Linked DNA regions of Oryzias latipes. The protein of the gene in region 2 interacts with the protein of the main gene of each other region in a pairwise test. Links are inferred from orthologs where the notes say so. Each region holds a gene or a part of one and is shown on either strand. Other genes may lie near its edges.

What was found.
Region 1: the proteins of drap1 (region 2) and nfyb interact in binary tests that used the Homo sapiens proteins (3 or more experiments, as listed by UniProt). The two-hybrid records come from large-scale screens. The link is inferred for Oryzias latipes from reciprocal best matches to the Homo sapiens genes DRAP1 and NFYB.

What each region holds. Positions count from the first base shown.
Region 1 is NC_019881.2:8,916,265-8,922,640, forward strand, and holds the start of nfyb (nuclear transcription factor Y subunit beta), read left to right. Parts: upstream 1-2,834; 5' UTR 2,835-2,964; intron 2,965-3,015; exon of another isoform or gene 3,016-3,706; intron 3,707-3,831; 5' UTR 3,832-3,895; coding exon 3,896-3,989; intron 3,990-4,065; coding exon 4,066-4,196; intron 4,197-4,609; coding exon 4,610-4,807; intron 4,808-5,633; coding exon 5,634-5,709; intron 5,710-5,776; coding exon 5,777-5,856; intron 5,857-5,926; coding exon 5,927-5,959; 3' UTR 5,960-6,376. UniProt on the Homo sapiens protein: Component of the sequence-specific heterotrimeric transcription factor (NF-Y) which specifically recognizes a 5'-CCAAT-3' box motif found in the promoters of its target genes.
Region 2 is NC_019876.2:27,235,984-27,242,276, forward strand, and holds the start of drap1 (dr1-associated corepressor), read left to right. Parts: upstream 1-2,026; 5' UTR 2,027-2,236; coding exon 2,237-2,278; intron 2,279-4,275; coding exon 4,276-4,348; intron 4,349-4,613; coding exon 4,614-4,707; intron 4,708-4,909; coding exon 4,910-5,035; intron 5,036-6,293. UniProt on the Homo sapiens protein: The association of the DR1/DRAP1 heterodimer with TBP results in a functional repression of both activated and basal transcription of class II genes.

The sequences.
Region 1 (6,376 bases), on a different chromosome or scaffold from region 2:
TTCGCGCTCCGGCGGTCCGCCCCTGCTGTCCGCGTGGTCCGCCGCTCGCCATGGGCGCCGAGTTGGACGCCGTAGTGCTTTCCGGGCCCCTGGCCAGGCCTGAAGCACCGCCAAGGCCACCCGGATCCACCCCCTCTTCCTTAGAGGATGAAGTACCTGTAGGAGGTGCTGAGCTGCCGGGGAGTCGTCGTCCCCACCACGCCGCTGCGTCCCCACCTTTTTGTGGTCTCCTCTGCGATCCCACTTCTGACACCAAATGTGGCGGGGTCCCGCCGAGAAAGGATGCAGAGGAACCAAGGTGAGGATGATCTGTCTTTATTTCCGATACTGTGAGCACCGCGCAGGGCCACGCAGCACACTCTGTCACTCCTCTCTTTTCGCCACCTGCAGTGCTCACCTTTAAGTGGGATGCCACACCCACGGGGCGTTGCTCTCAATTCCCAGCCAGGCGGCACCACAGGTGGAAATTATAACATACAATGAATAACAAAACACATTATTACACAACCAATAAAATCCGGTGTGGCCTCCCCTCGGCATCTGACGGTGCCACACCGTCACACCATCCCCCTCCTCTGAGGGATCGACGATGTGCGGCGATCCAGTCCAGCCCTCCGCCGCCGCGCAAGCCCACGCCGAACCACCAACCCGTTCCGCAGGCGCCCCTCGCCTAATGTAGAGGCCCTGTCCGGTTGGTCTGCAGGGATCAGCGGGACTGTCCTCCGGCGCGTGCTCCTCCACCCACGTCCTCGCGTCGGATGGATGCACGGGCTGCGGCTGCTCCACGACGGCGATCCCTCCGACCCGCTCCTCGGTGCGCCGCTCCAGTCGGTCCCAGCCCCGGCTAAGGCCCTTCCAACGGCAACACGCCCCCGCTGGTCTCCTCCCGGATGGCACCTCAGCCGATCGGAGCCGCCGACAGCAGGTTACAGGCGAGTTGTGACGCCTCTCCCGGAGCACTCCCCTGACGGCCCGGTAGACGTCGGTCCGCCCCTTGTCCAGCTCCGCACAGGCCTCCAACGCCCGCATCCGCGGCAGTGGAACCGGGCGGTATGCCCGTCCCGCCTCCGGCCGTCTTCGCGCTCCGGCGGTCCGCCCCTGCTGTCCGCGTGGTCCGCCGCTCGCCATGGGCGCCGAGTTGGACGCCGTAGTGCTTTCCGGGCCCCTGGCCAGGCCTGAAGCACCGCCAAGGCCACCCGGATCCACCCCCTCTTCCTTAGAGGATGAAGTACCTGTAGGAGGTGCTGAGCTGCCGGGGAGTCGTCGTCCCCACCACGCCGCTGCGTCCCCACCTTTTTGTGGTCTCCTCTGCGATCCCACTTCTGACACCAAATGTGGCGGGGTCCCGCCGAGAAAGGATGCAGAGGAACCAAGGTGAGGATGATCTGTCTTTATTTCCGATACTGTGAGCACCGCGCAGGGCCACGCAGCACACTCTGTCACTCCTCTCTTTTCGCCACCTGCAGTGCTCACCTTTAAGTGGGATGCCACACCCACGGGGCGTTGCTCTCAATTCCCAGCCAGGCGGCACCACAGGTGGAAATTATAACATACAATGAATAACAAAACACATTATTACACAACCAATAAAATCCGGTGTGGCCTCCCCTCGGCATCTGACGGTGCCACACCGTCACACCTTTCCACAGATTGAAACAAAAACTCAGCTCTCAGACAACAGACTGAACCCAGTAGTCTACGGAGTCTGTCAGCAGCAGGACAATGAAATGAATCGACTCGCTGTTGAGAAAATGTAGCTTCAAAGAGGCCGGAACTAAAGACGCAGGGACAGTTTTTCTCCCGGAACATTTGGAGCAGGTACACAGAATTGCTTCAAAGATAACTATCTCATCAAAAAAACAGCACCTCAAACAACAACAACAACAGTCACATAGCAGATGTCATGGAAGATGCATAAGGTTGGGGACACAGTGATCATAAAATGCTACAACTGATCATTGCAATCTACTTTTAGGAACAACTTTGATCATTATTTAGTGCTTTTTTAGTCAAAGGATGAAAACTTTTTCAGTGTTTTGGTACATCTAGTTAAACAAATTAATTAAAACAAAATCTGCACAAACAAGCTCCTTTATATTTTATTCATGATTAGTGATACTATAAATCCTGCTCACTACAGATGCAAAACACTTGGATCAATCTTTGATCCGATCAAAACATTTTGCACATGTAACCGCGGCTAATGTCAGTGGGAAGGGATTTGTCCGAGTGGTCTTAGCCGTCATTTCTATGGCAACCACTCTTGTCAATCAGTAGTGAGCTTGTTGGAAGTCCACGCCCCTACCCCTGAAAACGTGCTTGACAAAATCTGAAATGTTTTGAATGTTTGACATGGGGGCCAGTGGGCACAGCATGCTTTAGCTGAGGCATCTGATTAGATAGTTTATAAATTTAATAAATTAATGGGAAAAGAGGATTATCAAGAAGATGTTAAGGGCAAGAATGGGTATTCTGACCAATGGAATGGCTGAGTAACAGCTGTTTATTTCTCTATAGAAGTTTGGGATTTTGGCTTTTTGAGGACAAAAGGAAAACACACGAGACCACAACTTCACTAGTTTTCTGTGTCAAAGGTGAAAAGGCGCACTTTGATACATATTACTGTCGTAACAACTGGATTTTCTAGAATTAGAATTAACTGCTTGGTATAAAAGACAAAAAAGGCAAATCAATCCAGTCTATTCATTCTTGAATATTATGAGTGTGCACTCATTAATTAAAATGTGCTCTTATGAACGCAGTTTGAAGACAACACTCTTTGTACTCTATGTCAGGTAACAAATTGTGAGATTTCCGGGACATCCTGGAACGCACCACGGCCCCCTGCCGGCCGAGACCGGTAGTGCAGACGCGGCTCCGCGCTGGGACTGGTCGTTTCGCAGCCATTTTCTGTCCAACCAAACAGCCGTCTCAGGGAGGGAACCAACCAGGGCTTCATAGCAGGTTTGTGCCGGGCTCGGCCAATGATTGTTAACCGATTCGTCGTTAGCTCGAATGGAAATGTCCGTTGATGGCTGATTTTTTACGTGTTGTCTCAATGAGTGAGGGCTGCTCGTCAGGAAGTGTTTGCGGGCGAGACTCCGCCGAACGCCCGGGCCCAGCTCCGGCTAGGCTGACAAAGAACAGGCCGACGCAGGAGCAGATTGCCGCGGGTTCACAATGAGCACGACTGCCGGAGACGCCGCGTCCCGTTCAGGCGTCCCCCTAACGAGAAAGTCCGTCACACTCGCCGCTTCTCTGTGCGCGGAAACCACCGACGGTTCTTGGGCACTCAGTCACGCCGGCTCCGCTCGCTCCCGTGCCGCGGGACCACTGCTAACGCTAGCTAAACGCACCTCGTTGACGTCTGCAGACCGGCAGCTAACTCCCACGGAGCCTTTGATGATCATGTTCACAAACGGCGGGCTCAGTCTGACACGCCGCCGGGCGGGCCTCAGACTTCGCTCCTGTTATGAAGAGAAAACAGCGAAACGGTCTTCAGGGTCCATGTCTGCGGGGTGGACGCATCATTTCTGTATGAAACACTGGAACCTGAACGCAGCACTGAAGCTCCGTTATCCGAGCTGCTGTCCCCGCGAAGCTCTGGGCAGAGAAATGGTCCATCACGGAGAAACAGCCTCACAGCCAAAACAAACGATCCAGGCATTTCAATTGTTATTGGTTCCGGGTTCGATTCCTGCTCGCCGTAAACGATTCCATTTACTTTCATATTTTTAACTGAACCTTTTTGACCTTACTGAGGACAGAATAAGTTCCAGAGGCCCAGCCTTCATGCTGAAATGATGGTCCCCTTGTGCTGCTTGGTTACAGGAACGTTTGATCTGCATCCCTCCAGCTTACTGACTTTCAATCAGCTGCTCTGAACTTGTGGGAGATGGACGGAGACAGCTCCACCACAGACACATCTCAGCTGGGGATCACCGGAGAATACATGGCTTCTGGTCAGTACGTTCTCCAACCCCAGGATGGTAAGGATCTCCCGTTCCTGACAGCTCCCCACCAAACCAGGTGACATCCTGAAGAGCTGCTCTGTCTGTTCTGCAGAAGATGGAGAGGAGAGCATGAATGACCACGAGGAGGGGGGCTCCAAGGAGAACTACAGGGAGCAGGACATCTATCTGCCTATTGCAAACGTGGCACGCATCATGAAGAACGCTGTTCCTCAAACTGGAAAGGTTTGTTAAAGTCTTAAGAAGATGTTTTGGAATGTGAGCTGCTGCTTAACTTTGAAATCAAATTTCAGCTCAAGCACCTCGCAAAAACGTGTCTTTAGGAGGTGGTTGGGTTGTGAACATGCTCACAAAGACTCCTGTACTTTTAACAGAGCAGTGCAGGCACCAGATCACACCTGCAGATGGTGCAAGGGATCCATCCGCGTGGTAAACCGGTTCAAACGGATGTAGCCACAGCTGGAAAAAAGTTTATGAGCTTGTTAAAGATCACCTGTTTGATCATCACACCATACAGATGATGTATTAGAAACATCTAAAGAAAAGCCTGGAAAAACCCAAAACTGCAAACAGAGCTCCTTATTGGCTGCAGGCCTTCCTCACCCCAACTCACCTGCTTTCTCCTCTTTTCACCACAGATCGCCAAAGATGCCAAAGAGTGTGTGCAGGAGTGTGTGAGCGAGTTCATCAGCTTCATCACATCGGAGGCGAGTGAGCGCTGCCACCAGGAGAAAAGGAAGACCATCAACGGCGAGGACATCCTGTTTGCCATGTCCACGCTGGGCTTCGATATGTACGTGGATCCACTGAAGCTCTACCTGCAAAAGTTCAGAGAGGTGTGACTTTACCTTCTGTCCTTAAATGCTGTCACACACCCAAGCTGCAGTGGTGCATGTTTGTTTTGCAGCTTGTTACATTACACAGTTAGATTTACCTGTTTGTAGCATCTCTGTTGTCCTTCGCTGTTGTGTGTTGACTTCCTGTCTGTCGTGTCTCTCTTGTCCCACGTTCTTGTGTTTTGACTTCTTTTTTGTGGCGTCTCTGTTGTCCCGCGTTTGTTTGTTAACTTCCTGTTTGTAGTGTCTCTGTTGTCCTTCGTTCTTGTGTTTGGATTTCCAGTTTGTCGTGTTTCTGTTGTCCCGCATTTGTGTGTTGACTTCATGTCTGTCGCGTCTCTGTTGTCCCGCGTCTGTGTTTTGACTTCCTGTCTGTTGTGTCTCTGTTGTCCCGCACTCATGTATGTTGAATTCCTGTCTGTTGTGTCTCTGTTGTCCTTCGTTCTTGTGTGTTGACTTCCTGTTTGTCGCGTCTCTGTTGTCCCGCATTTGTGTGTTGACTTCCTGTCTGTCGCGTCTCTGTTGTCCCGCGTTTGTGCGTAGACTTCCTGTCTGTTGTCTCTGTTGTCCTTCGTTCTTGTGTGTTGACTTCCTGTTTGTCGCGTCTCTGTTGTCCCGCGTTTGTGTGTCGACTTCCTGTCTGTTGTGTCTCTGTTGTCCTTCGTTCTTGTATGTTGACTTCCTGTCTGTAGCGTCTCTCTTGTCCCGCGCTCTTGTATGTTTACATCCATTTCTGCTGCTCCAACGGCAGGTTTGAGTTTTTACAGGAGTTACCTCCGTTGTGTAAGTTTCGGTGCAAATGTCTTGTCGTTTTTGGTCTCTTCAGGCGATGAAGGGAGAAAAGGGGATTGCAGGCGTGTCGGTTGGGGAGGGACTGAGTGAAGAGCTAACAGATGATTTCAGTAAGTTGAATCCAACAGTGAGGTTCTCTCTACTGCTCATGTTCTTCATGTGTGAATTTGTGTGCAGCAAACCCACTTCCTGCAGGGATCATTACAGCAGACGGCCAGCAGCAGAACGTCATGGTGTACACCACCTCATATCAGCAGGTAAGCCCCTCATCTTCTGTCAAGACTCTTTGACGGTACTGAACTACAATCCCAGCATGCTCCATTCCAGATCCCTACTGTGCAGCAGATCCAGTTTTCATGACCAGACCAGTCCGTGCACTCGCTTGGGGCACGTGCTTATCCGATGACCTGTGACCCTGTGGGGTGAAGGTTGTCTGTCAGAGGAGGGGGGGTGCCCTCAAACACAGAAATCACTACCTGTTTAGTTGAAAGTGTAGTTTCTAGTTGTGAGGTACCAAATGTTCTGGATATGTTTCAGAGCAGCTGGGAAATTCAAGGCTTTATTTTAAAGGCATGATTTTGTGGTGGAACTCTGTTTGTGCATACTTATTAATGTGTTTGCTTTTATGTGTTTACCTTAAGTTTGTATTTTTGAAGGCGGGAGGGCAGTGATACTCTAAAAGCTTCACTTGGGTTTGAAATCCAGACGTTTCTGTCTGAGTCGATCATGCAGCTCTTTTGTAAACTGTTTACCATGTGCTTTCATGTCATAAAAATC
Region 2 (6,293 bases):
CGTGCAGCTTTTATAACCTCCTGGTGTTCTACGTTCCTCACTGTATGACATCTCTTGAAAGAAAAAAGTCAAAAATCAACAACTAAAACACAAATGTGAGTCTCGCCCAACCACAGAGGAAGTTTGACCTGTGGACCCACCCAGATGAATACAGTGTTTTTTTTAATGTTTTTACTGCTGATGGAGGAGATTTATAATAAAACATAGACGTAAACATTTATTTTTGAGGATTTCTTACTTCAAATTGTTGTGAATGAGAAAAGCATTAAAGGTAAAGATGGAAACAATGCGGCGACCCCTGAAGGGAAATGCAGAAAGGTGAACAATAAGGATCAGGTGTGTTATAGCAGAGGCGTCCTGGTAATGCTTTAGGGGAACACGGTCCATCGACCATCCACGATTGAATCACGGCAATCTCTTTTCATACACCTTTTACTCAACAGAGTCCTTGAATGATTTCTCAGCATAAACTCAAAAACACCAAATGACTGGATGTTGCTCATCTTTTGTAAATCTGAAACCCCTTCCAGAGCAAAACGTTGCACAAGGATAAGTCTCTCCAGTCAACAGGAGCCGATCAATCTTTACGACGATGCAGGGCGGGTCGCTCCTGAACCGCTGGATAACACAGATTTATCTGTAAGACATGTACGGCTGATAAAACAGATTCAGGGGGGGTCAATAAAAAAACGTTTTCTGTCTTTACATCGTCCATACCACACGCCTGAATATTTGAAATCCTTCGTGACTGACTACTAAGTTTATGGGAAAAAAACTGTTAAGGAATCATTTACATGTTTAAAAAGATGAAAAAATAAATGAATAATGCAGGCGTTTTATTTGTTTCTAAACCAGTAATAAAATCAGAGACATGACGTGTTCTAGATGTGACCGTTCACCCCTCAGTGGCATGGTTCCAGGCTGTTCTGCCTTATGAATCTGGATGATAATCTCTTTATATGTCCACCAGACCAAATCTTGAATTTCTCTTTGTTGCTTTTTTACCCACAACTGTGTAATATTAAACCCTTGGGCCACAAAGGGGTCTAAGATTTGGCAGAAAGGCCGGACCGGGAGCTGTTGTACAGAGTGTTTTGGTATCACAACTCATGAGATGAAGAAATAACGTGGAATCTTGACAAAAACATCTGTAGCTTTTGATAGAAAATTGACATACATGTAGAACATTTTGGTGTCTTTATTTCAAAACTGTGGCTTTTCTTCCCATTTTAGAGCCATTTGCACCAATGGATTGATGTTCCTTTAGGGAAAAAGTAAATTAGAGTAACGCTGCGTTCAAGTGGAATTGGAATGATAGAAAAATGCTTCCCAGAAAAACAACATATATTCCAAAACCACATGCAATGCAAAATGAGCTTCTGCATCTGAGCAACAGCCCATTTATTTGTAGAGAACCATCTATGGGGAGGCACCAGAATTACAGGGAAAAGCAGGAAACTGGTTTGAGGCTGCATTTATCTTTTTTCTTTCTTTTTATGTCTGTCCACTTGTCCATTACATTATTTTCTAATTTTGTTTTGTTTTTTTGTTTTTGATGTTTGTATGAATATTTTTCGTTGTTTTTTTGTTTTTAAATTCTTAGTTAATTTTGGATTTTTAAGGGCTATCACCTCTGAAGGGGGATTCATAGCATTTAGGGGAGGACATTACCCCCCTTGCCCATGCCTGTATACGGCCTCGATTCACCGCTGTAATAAAAAGATACACCTGGAGAGGCTGGTTTGACATTGAACAGTTTTAAGTGTATCACAACCTTTCTTCTTAATGAAAACATGACTGGACTTTATTTTTTGTTTCTTAAAAAATGTTCCATTAAAGTATTATGTAGTAGTATTAGTTTTTTGTGGCTTTTCAGGACACTATTTTTTTTTCCAGTGATTTGCTGTTGTGTTTCAGTATTTGTTCATTTTTACTGGGATTTGTTGTTGTTGTATCTGGCACTTCTCGGCCACCGTATTTTTTCTCTACACACTAATGAAATCTGAGAGTAGCGCAGCAAGTGCCAACATGACCGGCGCTAGGACCTGGCAAAAGCAAACGGATCCCTTCAGCTCCTCAAGCAACGAGGAACGAGATGACGACAGCGCGCTAACAACTTAGCCGGATAGCTAACGCTATCTGGTGTACGTGCGGTGGAGGTGAATTCACATGAAATAGCAGTATAACCCCAAACATTTAACATTTTATTTTAGCTCAGTCACCAGGTTATTTAATTATGCCGAGCAAAAAGAAGAAGTACAACGCCAGATTCCCTCCGGTGAGTATAACCGTAAACTATCGGGTGTTGGGAGTCGCTAGCATTAGCAGACTGAGTGGGATTTGGCCTCTTTTGTTGCCAAGAGAATTAACAAGCTAAAGCAAGACTTTTCTAATGCAATTCGTTCTCCATCACCGAGATATTGTCCGTGTAAATAAAGCAGGTAACTAACTAATTCACGAGTCGTTCCCCGAGCAGTTTAGGCTGTGCGCCCTGTTGTTTTTAGCCTGTTATGCTAATCCTAATCTGGTATTATAGCTGTATAAACGGACAGTGATGGATCACAGCGCTGTCACGGCACGGCGCCCTTTAAATGTCACGTTTCTGCACCATCTAAATGAAGTTCTGGTTTGGTGTTTGTGGGATTTAGCTGATAAAGTCACACCATTATACCGATGGATGTTAATATTAGACAATAAATATTGGGATTCAGATGATAATAAACGAATCTGGGTGTAAAATTACAATAACCAGAACACGGGCTTTGATTTTAGAGATTTTGATTTTAATGTAAAGAGTCTCAGCAAGAGTGGATTAAACATAAAACTGGAATATTGAAAGACAACGCAATGTACAGAGGATCTCACTAAAGTGAGTACACCCCTCACTGTTTTCATTGGACACAAGACTTTTCGACACAATAAAATGTAGTCCGTGTTCATCTTTTATAGTAGTGAAAATTTTTTTCTTAAAAAATGACTATTAATATAGCCAAACCCCTGGCAACAAAAATGAATTTGGCATTTTCCTTCTCCGATATCATGTGACTCTTTACTGTTACAATGTCTCAGGTGTCAATAGATAGCAGGTGTGTTAAATATAGCATTAAAGCTCTTACACTCTCTCAAACTGATCACTGGAAGTTAAACATGGCTCCTCATGGCAAACCACTCACTGAAAAGAAAAAAAAGAATTGTCGGTTAACGTAAAGATGGCCTAGAAGGTTACCAACGGAAACGGTGCCCCCAAGACCATCCAGCGGTTTAAAAAAGACAGCTTTGACTCAGAACAGGTCTCGCTGTCGTCGGTCAAAGAAGTTCGTCGCACATTCACAGCATCACATCCAAAGCTGACCTTTGACACACATATGTATGAGAGCGTCGAGCTTTGCTGCAGGGGTGAGCCTGTCAGTGCTCAGACTATACGCCACAAACTGGTCTGCATGGCTGTTGTCCCACAAGAAAGACTTTTCTAAACGCGATGCACAAAAAGGCCCAGAAGTCAAGCAGACTAAGGAATGGATTACATGTTCTGTGGTCTGATGAGACCAAGATAAACCTGGTTCAGATGGCGTCAACCAGGTGAGGAGGACAAAGACAAGGGTGTCTTGCCTACAGTCAAGCACGGCGTTGGTCGAGTCATGGTGTGGGACTGCATGACAATTGGGGGGGGGGGGGGGGGTACAGAACCCCCAGCTTCTTCTCCTTTTTTTACATACTTTTGATGATTTTTACACAATAATTCTACAATGAGCATCAAGCTGTTCATAAAACTAAGTAACTTTTTACTGTAAAACCCACAAAAATTGAGATATAACAGTTTTTATATGTTTTAGAACAAAGATCAAATATGTGTAGATAAAATTAAAAGGCATAAATCCAAAAACAAAGCAAAGGTCAAAACAATGAGAAAACAGGCAAAGCTCCACTCAAAGCACTAAGGGGTATCACAATTACAGTATGTGTCATAACTCTTGTTATGTTATTTTAAACTAAAAATGTTAAAGCTAATAACCTTTTGAAACCTTCAGGTTTGATTTTGAATAGAAACGATGCAGATGAGGGTGTCGGATTTATAACTGTGTCATTGTGGCTGACAAACTCAACTGTGGGTCTGCAGAGGGCTAATTTGTTTCAATATTCCTTTTGCTTTCTCTACTTTTCATGGTTAGACTGTCACCTCTTTGGATAAACTGCCTCAGATTGGGCGTTTTTTTCTTTTGTTAAACATGTCGTCCTCTCATGTCCTCACGTAACACCAGACTGTTGTCTTTTCAGGCAAGGATCAAGAAGATTATGCAAACAGATGAGGAGATAGGAAAAGTGGCTGCAGCGGTTCCTGTCATCATATGTATCCTTTGCAAACGTGTTGGAACGTCACAGGGCCTTGTGGGATTTTTGCATGTGTGCAAACCTTTTGAACCGCTGCCCGTGTTTGCAGACAGAGCACACGCATGTGTGTCGCACTAATCAGCTTCATCTCAAGGGCAGCGGTCAGCAGATTTGTGCATCTCTGCAGGTTTGGTTCTGGTTTTTGACGCTTCAGGAGGAAGCGGTCTGTGCAGACGTTTTGTGCAAACACGGGTGAGTTATTATGTTCTTAATCAAAGCATCAGCCAGAGCTCTGGAGCTGTTCCTGGAGTCTTTGCTCACAAAAGCCTGTCAAGTCACGCAGTCGAGGAACGCAAAGACCATGACGATGTCCCACCTGTAAGTTTCTGAAAGAATCCGCTCTCCAAGAACACGTGAAAATGGCTTTAGCAGATGAAAGATTTTGGAGGATGTGTGCCAGTTACATCCATGTTGCAGTAAGGAAAAAAAACAAAACAATGGAAAGGCATTTCGTTGTTGTTCCGCTCAGTCTGCTGGATGGGAATGACTGGAATGGATGTGTGTTTTTTTTTCACTCCAGAAAACAGTGCATCGAGTTGGAGCAGCAGTTCGATTTCCTAAAGGACCTGGTAGCAACGGTACCGGACATGCAGGGCGAAGGGGAGGACAACCACATCGAAGGCGGAGGGGAAAAAGTCCAGCGCAGGTATCTCTGTCCCACAGGTGGACGTGGAGAACAGAATGAAATGAGGCCTAGCAGCTGCCTATGTGATCACGTATGTGTCACGCTACAGAATAACCTGGTCTGTGTTTGAGCAATGAAAATGTGCTCATGGTCTTCTCTTGTCCTGAATTAGTCAGAAGGCCTCTTGTTTCACCTGGCGACCTTAAAGGGCCTATAACATGATTTGCTGAGGCTTTTCAGAGTAAACTATGTCCATATACGGTGGGGCAAAAAAAGCATTTAGTCAGCCACCAATTGTGGAAGTTCTCCTACTTGATGAAGGAGGCCTGTAGCTTCATCATAGTCATAGGTATACCTCAACTATGAGAGACTAAATAAAAGAAGAAAATCACATTGTCTGAATTTTAAGGAATTTACTAGTAAATTATGGCGGAAAATAAGTATATGGTCACCCACAAACAAGCAAGATTTCTGTCTGTCACAGACATCTAACTTCTTCTGTAGAGGATCCTCTGTCCTCCACTGGTAACCTGTATTAATGTCACCTGTTTGAACTGGTTATCTATAGAAAAGACACCTGTCCACAACCTCAAACAGTCACACCCCAACCTTAACTATGGTCAAGACCAAAGAGCTGTCTAAGGACACCAGAAACCAAACTGTTGACCTGCACCAGGCTGGGAAGACTGAATCTGAACAGGTAAGCAGCTTGGTGTGAGGAAATGAACTGTGGGAGCAATTATTAGGAAATAGGAGACACACAAGACCACTGATGATCTCCCTCCATCTGGGGTTCCTGTCAACATCTCACTCCGTGGATCAGAATGATCACAAGAACGCTGAGCAAAAACCCCAGAACCACACGGGGGACCTAGTGAACGACCTGCAGAGAGCTGGGACCAAAGTAACAAAGACTACCATCAGTAACACACGACGCCACCAGGGACTCAAACCCTGCAGGGCCAGACGTGTCCCGCTGCTAAAGCCAGTACATGTGCAGACCCGTCTAAAGTTAGCTAGAGAGCATTTGGATGATCCAGAAGAGGATTGGGAGAATGTCCTATGGTCAGATGAAACCACAATAGAACTTTTTGGTAAGAACTCTACTCGTCGTGTTTGGAGGAGAAAGAATGCTGAGTTGCATTCAAGAATTTTTTAAAATTTCCTTAGGGATTATTAAAGACCAATTCTATTCTATTCTAAGAACACCATCCCTACTGTAAAGCATGGGGGTGGAAGCATCATGCTTTGGGGCTGTTTTTCAGCAAAGGGTCCAGGA